3 linked regions of the Tribolium castaneum genome follow. The protein of the gene in region 1 binds, or shares a complex with, the protein of each later gene. Links are inferred from orthologs where the notes say so. Each region holds a gene or a part of one and is shown on either strand. Other genes may lie near its edges. The genes, in order: DNA polymerase epsilon subunit 3, transcriptional adapter 2-alpha and PolE4.

Region 1 (2,215 bases):
GGCGAATTCACAGCAAACTGCAATTTTCTCTTAACTGTGTTTATAAAATTGTACGGATACGCCGCACAAGGGGGCTCCAGCCAGGGCGCCCCCTTGTCGCACGTTTGCGTCTCTTTCGCCTCAGACGACGTTTTCGCCAATTTCTGGGGCTCCCGGGCCTTGGCCCTCGAAATTCTCTCGCTTTTTTGCGTCTTTTCGGAGCCCTCAGAAACTTTTTGTGCGGGCGACTTCGAGCGGTCGATTTTCGGGGGGCCCCCCTTGTCCTGTGACTTCGGGCGGTTGGTTCGGACAAGGGGGCCCCCTTTCTCCCGCGCCTTCGAGCGGTCGATCCGGACAGGGGGCTCGCCCTTGTCCCGCGATTTCGAGCGTTCGCGCTTCAACTGCACGTTTTTTGTCACCAGCTCGAGTGTTTTCTGGTGTAATTCTTTCAGTTTTTGCTTTTTCAGATCGAGTTTATTGTCAGTGGTGTTGATTTGGGCCCGCAATTGTTCGGCGCGTTTTTCCCGCTGTTTTTTGATGTAGTTACGCGCCTCGGTGACGTCATAACTGCGGGGCTTTTTCTCGGGATCGGGGGGCGCCTTTTTTTTAACGGTTTGGGTATCAGGGGCTGGCTTGTGGGTGGGGGGCTCAGGGGGCTGGGTCCCAAGACTTATGAGCTTCTCTAGCTCGGTTTTGAGCTGTTCGATCTCTTTTTTTGTGTTTTTTACACGAGTGCTGACATTTTCCACTTGGCTTATGGACATTTCTGAACCCCCTTTTTTTAGCGAATTACGACTGGAAATTGATTAGACTGACGTACAATTCACGAATTGACCCACATTTGTGTTAATTTAGGTGAGAAAATGCAAAATTAACTCACCTTTTTCACATATTTTCAAAACGTCAACCGTTTATAACATAACCTCAATAACCAAGGCCAACAAGGGTGAATAGTTCAAGGCCCCCCACCAAAACTGCAAAAAACAGCCCCTAAAATAAACCACCCCATTCGTCACGAGCCCCCCAAGCTTAATTAAACAAAAAACACAAATTTATAATTATTAGGTGACCAATAATAAACAAATTAATGATTTTTTAATCAAAATTCAAACATGGCGGTTGGCATTGCGCATGCGCGTTTTTTGTTTTTGGTGGGAAAAGTAATTTTGTGAATTTTGTGACCAAATGGCCGAAAAACTGGAAGATTTGAATTTGCCGAACATGACGGTGCAAAAGATAATTAAAGACGCATTGCCTGAACACGTCAGTGTTGGTAAAGACGCCCGTTCGGCCCTGTCAAGGGCCGCTTCAATTTTTGTCCTGTACATAACCTCACAAGCCACCAAAGAGGCGCAAAAAGTGAACAGAAAGACTCTTCTGGGTCAAGACATTCTAACAGCGTTAGAAGAGCTCGAGTTTGACGAATTCGTGGAGCCCTTAAGTGTGATGCTGAGAGGTTAGTTTTTTTTTGAGGTTATGTTCACGTTTCAAAAACCGACTTCAGATTTCAAAGAAGCGAAGCAGAAGAAGAAAGTGAAGAAGGGGGCCGACGTTGAAATGGCGGAAGACAACGACGAGGAGGCCGTGGAAGAGGAAGAAACGGGAGAATCGTAATAAAAAATAAATTTTTTGTGATAGTTTTTTATTCATGAGAAAAAGTAACAACTGACTAGATTAAGGCCACAAATCGTGCAGAATTCACACTTTAGCAACACTGAGCAAAAAAAGTGACGGCAGTTGAACGAACTATGAAATTATTCTAATTTTGCGTTCGATTGAAGTCCTGCACATTGGACAGTCGTTCAAGGTCACAGGACACTGGGAACAGCAACAGAAGTGTCCACATGGCACGAAAATCACCTCACACTGCAAAAAAAAAACACCAAAATTCGCCTTAATTTGAGATAAACAACATACAGTTGAGTCCAAACAAATGACGCATTCAGTCCCCAAATTTGCGACATTTTCGAGTGGTGGCGCACTTGCCTCTTCGATTGGCAGCACTGGAGCTGAGGGGGCCGTATCGGTCGGTATTTGCTCCTTTCGGTACATTTGGAATGCGTCTAAAATGTGGACCCGGTCCGATTTATTCACAATTCCCACTTCTTTGAGGTCGCTTTCTGTGATTTTTGCAACGTTGCCTGCAAATTGGTTAAAAATCGGGCCAAAGTAGGCACTGACTTTGAAATTTAGGTTGGCAACACTGACGGGCAAATAATTCGGCGTTGCCAACTTA
Region 2 (3,766 bases), on another chromosome or scaffold:
TTACAACATAATTAGAAAATTCTTATTTTGTGATATTTCGCCAAAAAACATTACTTTGCAATTTCACGTGTTTTAGCATTTTTTTTTAAATTGTGTTTAAAAATGACATAAAAGCATAAACCAGGAGGAGATAACACAAAAGTCGATCGTTTTTCTTGGCCAAAAAATGAGGAGTTTTGTCAATCAATCAAAAAAAGATGTTACTCAAAAAAATCACAAAATTAAGTCAAAACTTTTGCTTTTGCAAGCCGAAGATTTTTAAAGACCAAAATTAATGCTATGTTGCAGCTTTTTGTGAGCCTTTATACATGTTTTAAGGTAAAAATTAAAGTGTTTAAAAATTCTCTAGCTAGAAATTCACAGAATTAAATCTAAATTGGGGTTATTTTAGTTTACTTTGCTCAATTAAGTTCCTTTTTTGAACGAGAAATTTAATTTAATTACTCTGCCTTTTTCGAAAGTTTAGCATTTCTTCAAAAAACGTAATCACCAAATTGTTATTATTATATTATATTTTTAATTATATTTAATATAATAAAATATAAATAATAATAACAATTATATATTATATAAATAAATAAAATAATTAAATATATATGTAATTATATTCTTAACTATCATATTTTAAAGCTCGTTTTTTTAAGGTAAAACGCAATTTTTACTGAAATTTTGCTAAACTTGCTTAAAAAATCTGCTCGAAGATGACAATATTTTACTATTTATGAGATTTATTACCACGTTCATCCATAAAAACACATTTATTTCGCAACATTTGCTCAAAAAGAAGCCAAAAAAATTGCGATTAGAACGAAATTAGCATTATATTTGCTTTTTCGAGTGTTGAAGCGCCGATTTGTTTGAAAAAAATGTTAATTCTGCATTTAGCGAGTGATATAACTTTTTTCGCGAGATTTTTTTAAACCAAAACGGTTCCATTGTAAATAGCTATTTGTGCAACGAGATAGAAAAAGTGAATTCTTTCTGGAAAAAACTTACGAGTTGAACACAATGTTTTGTAAAATTCCGTGAATATTGAAGAGTTTGAGAATTTTTCATCGAATTTTACAAGTGTTTTTTTTTCCAAAATACAAATTGTATTATTTTTCGTCACGCCACTAACTGTTGAAGTATGTTTTAACATTTTTCTTTGTTTTTATTAATCTTTAGTGAACATTTTTTTCTCCGTCGTGTTTTTTTGGAACTCAATAAGCCGCTATTATGGAAAATAACCAACTTTATATTAATTCAACCGTTTGATATGAACCTAAGAATTTGTATTTTGAGTTCGCCGCTGTGGTGTAACCCCTCCATCAACATTTCGAACTGGACAGGAGTACAAAATTGCATAAATCGGATCAGTTTTTCATACACAGGACGTGTAATCGTAACGTCATACCGATGAAGCCAAGCGTAAACTTTCCGCAGAATAATCAATCCGTGTTCTCTTATGATTTTTTTCCACCTTTGGCGCTCCCTCAACCGCCGGTTATAACTCTGAATGATCGCACATTGAAGATTTGTGATCAAGTCAAAATGAGGATCGTCCTTATCAACCGGTTTAAGGTTCGAGAGCAGATCCTCAGCCGACGAATCGAACTCGCATTCGAAATCGGACCTCGCGGGGTTATAACCGGCCAAAGACTTGTACCCCACTGTGTTGGGGGAGTAGCGAGGGGGCTCATCGGTGTCGCTAATCCGCTGTCTGTAGGGCACCACCGGCTCACAAAACCAGTCCCTTTTGCTCGCCTCGGGCAAGTCTTTGGACCCCTTTCTGTCTAAATAAAACCAATCGTAGTGCGCCCTAATCTCCCTCACACTCCGATTTGGGAACTCTTTCGCCACTAAATTCCAGTTCCCGTATTTTTGTAACGACTCTAACAACACCACCTCCTCCCGAGCCGTCCAGTCCGTGTTACCCCAAACCGGAAAATCGTCGCGGATTATGTGATAATCGTGATCGTTCTTGTGCCCCCCAAACTCCGCACCTTTCGAAAAACACAGCGAACAAATATTCACTTTACACAAAGCGCAATAAATGTAAGGCGCGACCAAATCGCACGAACAATTCGAACAAACACTATCAGAGTCACTAGAGTAAAACGCAGGGGGGCCACAGTCTGAAACCTCAGTTGAGAACGAGAAGTAAACAAGGGGGCTCACCTTTGGGAAACTGCAAGTCAGCGGCGTCTTCTTCGGTTAAGTCGGTGTTTGCGTTTGCCATTTTTTCGAAAACTGTTTGGATACCACAAAAACTTAGGTTATGTGCATAGGTTATGTGAGCGGCAAGCGCTGCCTACCTGGCAAAATTTAAAGCACTAGCACTTTACTAGTGCGGTGTTTTTTGACGATTATTTATGAAATTATTATGTAATTCGAACGCAATCGGCATAAAACGTGAAAAAAAAAATAATTGGGGAAAATTTGATTGTAGCCACGGGACCTCTAATTTGTTTTGTGTGAATTGTGTGATACCAACGGTGACTGTAAAAAGTCTCCAAACTGATTTTTGCCAAAACTGTCGTAATTTAATAAAACAGGCGATAAAAAATAGTAAAAATCGCTTTATTGGCGCTATGGTAGTTCACTTTACAAAAACTAATCAATTAAGTTAATTACATAATTATTTTTTAGGTTAGGTTACCAATGTCGCTATCAAGGGGGCCCCAAATCCTCTCCCTTGTGAACAAAACGCCCGTCTTTCTTAGACTTTTCGCAACGCAAATCGCCTCATTTGATGAAGTCAAGTCAGTAAAAACGACTCCTAAGACTCTTCTAATCGATGTCAGGGAGCCCCACGAATTGCAGGAAACCGGAGTTATTCCTGACAGCATCAATATTCCACTTGGCGAAGTCGAGAAAGTGTTAAAAGACATGCCTTCTGAACAATTTCAAAAAACTTACAAAAAGGCTAAACCTGATTCTAGCACCCCCTTAATTTTTTCGTGTCGTTCGGGGAAACGTAGTGCCCTTGCGTCCGAGATTGCGACGAAGTTGGGGTTCAAAGATATAAAGAATTATTCCGGGGGGTGGCTAGAGTGGGAGGAAAAAAGTAAAAATATTTGAGTTGTAAATAAATAATACGTTATATGAGTGTAGGGGTTGTAGTTTGATTTGGATTTAGGTAGTGCCGTATTTACTTATTTACTGCGGCACAAAAGTGATAAACATGGAATGTTAAAAAATAAGTCAAAAAGAGTTTGCAATCTACAAATCTCGTCAAAAATTTTTTGAATGATAACACCTTTTGAAAGGCCTGATCACCATAAGTCAAAAATACTCACAAAAGCAAAACCAAATAATAATTTTGCATGTGTTTTGCCCTGAAGTGGATATTAGATACGATTTCTTCATTTGTTGATGTTAGGAGCATCCAGCGCCAATGTGGACACAAACACTTATTGCAAAAAAACATCAGCGCCGTTTTGAAAACAACATTTACCTACTCCATGACCCCCTTCCGTACTTTTAATAACGTGGGACAGTTTCCTCGAACTTTTCGTCTTCTTTGTTGGATTTTTTAAATGTTAATTGTCAAATTGAAAAAGTGCGCGCGCATGCGCTTTGATTTTTAACATGTCATTCAAGAATTCACTGGTTGAATCTTTTTGATTAATATAAAAGCGTTTCAATTCAATATTTCTTATTTATTTCCTCTCATTGTCCCAATTTTTGTGCCCAACATTACCTAGGGGGGTAGAATTCAGAGAAAAACTGAAGATGTGAGATGCAACAAAAACAAAGACAGACTCATTAATCATCATTTTGT
Region 3 (1,939 bases), on another chromosome or scaffold:
CAGAATGGTCGATTTGGATTGTATACAAAATCTTAAAGCTCTAGCTATAAGAAGTTAAAAAGTTTCTAATTGTAGGTCCTAAAAGAATCAGCATGTTATATGGGATAATAAAAACGACATGGCAATATATCAATTAGCTAAAATGTTATGGACCGATTGGACACCCCTGGTTTACCCTGTATATGACTTTATTTGAAAACATATTTCACCGTTTTGTGAGATTTGTTCTAAATAAAGTGGAAACTTGTTAGAGTAAATCTGACGCAAATATGTTAATTCTATTACTCCTATTATTTTTCGAGAATTTTGCGAGTGTTCTTCAATTAGAAACTCACTAATCTAGAAATACATTGGCAAAAAAGAGAAAACATATGAACCTACGTCGAATATGTAAATTCAAATGATTTTTCCGAAGCTAATTGGAAAATCCTTAATTTAGTTAGGTTCTCTATTGTGAATTTAGAAACATTTTTCAGTGAAAATGAAAGGAATAATTTGCCGAAAAGACAAAAAACTTCCAAATTCGAAAAGAGATCTGCTATTTATTCTTTGTTTTTTTTTTAAACATAACTGCGAAGGCGCAAACACGAAAATAGGATAAGATTTACCAAAATTAACTGAAAATAATCTTAAAAGTATTTTATTCCAAGGCACCATCAAGGAAACAAAGACTAGGTATATTATCAATTGCGGCATCGACGTCTCGCTTCTGTACAGTTTTCCTTTTCCCCATCCCCATAAACTTGCCAGACTCTTTAGCAAGGTGCTCCAGAAACATCTCCTGAAATTTTAATTGAGTACCTAAGCTAACACTCAAATTTTTTTTGTTACCGTTGATTTGGTCACGAGAAATAGGGCATCTTGACTCACTAAATTACAGTCTGGGTCCATTTTCATAATGTGTTTAATTCTAGCTAGGGGTAGTTTCACTAATTTGGGTTTTTCGGGGGATGTTGTGGTTAATTCTACGAATTCTGGCGTTTCGGTAACGGGCTGCCTCTCAGTCTCAATCTCTTCTATATCCACTTCGTTGATATCTTCCATTTTATTTGTTAAAATTTTAAATAAATACCACTCAAGTTTCACAACATAACCTCAATCGCGCGCTATTCAAAGTCAGGTAAGGTGGTTACAAAACGAAATCCCCCAAATTATTTAAAAAAATTAGTAATAAAATACAATTTTGGCTTAGATTGTCTCACAGTTGTGTTATTTTTATGCGGTATATTGATAGGGATTGATAATTTTATTGATTAAGTTAATTTATTGCGGTTTGTATTCAATTTTGAATGATGTACCAAGTGGATTGGTATCCCTTCATTTGACAAAGTCTTAACCTCAAAATTATGGACGCTCTTACGTCAACGATCAAGTAAATAAAAGGTAATAACTTTGACCGCATCTATTTTAGTGTTTTGTTGGGTTTGTTGCAATAACTCTGCCCATAGATGGACGATGGTACCCCCAAGAGGGGCCGCGGCCGGGGTCGCGGTGGTCGAGGCAGAGGTCGGGGAAGAGGCCGAGGTCGCGGACGTGGTAAAAAGGCCATAAAAGTGATAGAAAGCGATGAAGAACTGGATAATTCCCAACTGCAAGAATCGTCCGAAGAGGCACAACAAACTGAAAGTGAATCTAACGAAAATGTGGCACCTAAAAGTAAATTTAATTGAATTAAAGTCAGCCTTGAATGACAATTGAATGTTATAGTTGATTTGGAAGCTGACATCTCCCAACTGGAAGCACCGACTTTTACAACAATTAACAGAGGGCCACCAGAACCAATGTTGCGGCTAGATTGGTCACATAAAGTGAATTTGATTGGCGAAAAAGTGCTCAATCCCATGATTCATTGCTGTGATAAGTGTTTGAAGCCGATTTTAATCTATGGACGAATGGTAAACTCTTTATTTTTAATACATTTTCTACTAAAATATCCGCA

What was found.
Region 2: DNA polymerase epsilon subunit 3 (region 1) and transcriptional adapter 2-alpha share a complex: the UniProt entries of both Drosophila melanogaster proteins name them as parts of the ada2a-containing (ATAC) complex. The link is inferred for Tribolium castaneum from reciprocal best matches to the Drosophila melanogaster genes Chrac-14 and Ada2a.
Region 3: DNA polymerase epsilon subunit 3 (region 1) and PolE4 share a complex: the UniProt entries of both Drosophila melanogaster proteins name them as parts of the DNA polymerase epsilon complex. The link is inferred for Tribolium castaneum from reciprocal best matches to the Drosophila melanogaster genes Chrac-14 and PolE4.

Annotation. Positions count from the first base shown.
Region 1 is NC_087394.1:1,508,875-1,511,089, reverse strand, and holds DNA polymerase epsilon subunit 3, read left to right. Parts: upstream 1-1,092; 5' UTR 1,093-1,164; coding exon 1,165-1,435; intron 1,436-1,483; coding exon 1,484-1,593; 3' UTR 1,594-1,609; downstream 1,610-2,215. Other genes in the region: centrosome-associated protein 350-like, read right to left, coding at 1-743; E3 ubiquitin-protein ligase LRSAM1, read right to left, coding at 1,726-1,845, 1,897-2,120. UniProt on the Drosophila melanogaster protein: Accessory component of the DNA polymerase epsilon complex. Participates in DNA repair and in chromosomal DNA replication. Histone-like protein which promotes nucleosome sliding of ATP-dependent nucleosome remodeling complexes.
Region 2 is NC_087398.1:11,845,020-11,848,785, forward strand, and holds the start of transcriptional adapter 2-alpha, read right to left. Parts: upstream 2,303-3,766; 5' UTR 2,222-2,302; coding exon 2,161-2,221; intron 2,118-2,160; coding exon 1,265-2,117; intron 1-1,264. Other genes in the region: rhodanese domain-containing protein CG4456, read left to right, coding at 2,574-2,576, 2,632-3,063. UniProt on the Drosophila melanogaster protein: Component of the histone acetyltransferase (HAT) complex ATAC; predominantly involved in acetylation of histone H4, including at Lys-6 (H4K5ac) and Lys-13 (H4K12ac).
Region 3 is NC_087395.1:5,462,366-5,464,304, reverse strand, and holds PolE4 (DNA polymerase epsilon subunit 4), read right to left. Parts: upstream 1,153-1,939; 5' UTR 1,045-1,152; coding exon 832-1,044; intron 782-831; coding exon 641-781; 3' UTR 625-640; downstream 1-624. Other genes in the region: E3 ubiquitin-protein ligase Hakai, read left to right, coding at 1,449-1,656, 1,708-1,895. UniProt on the Drosophila melanogaster protein: Accessory component of the DNA polymerase epsilon complex. Participates in DNA repair and in chromosomal DNA replication. Has a role in cell cycle progression. Required for wing morphogenesis.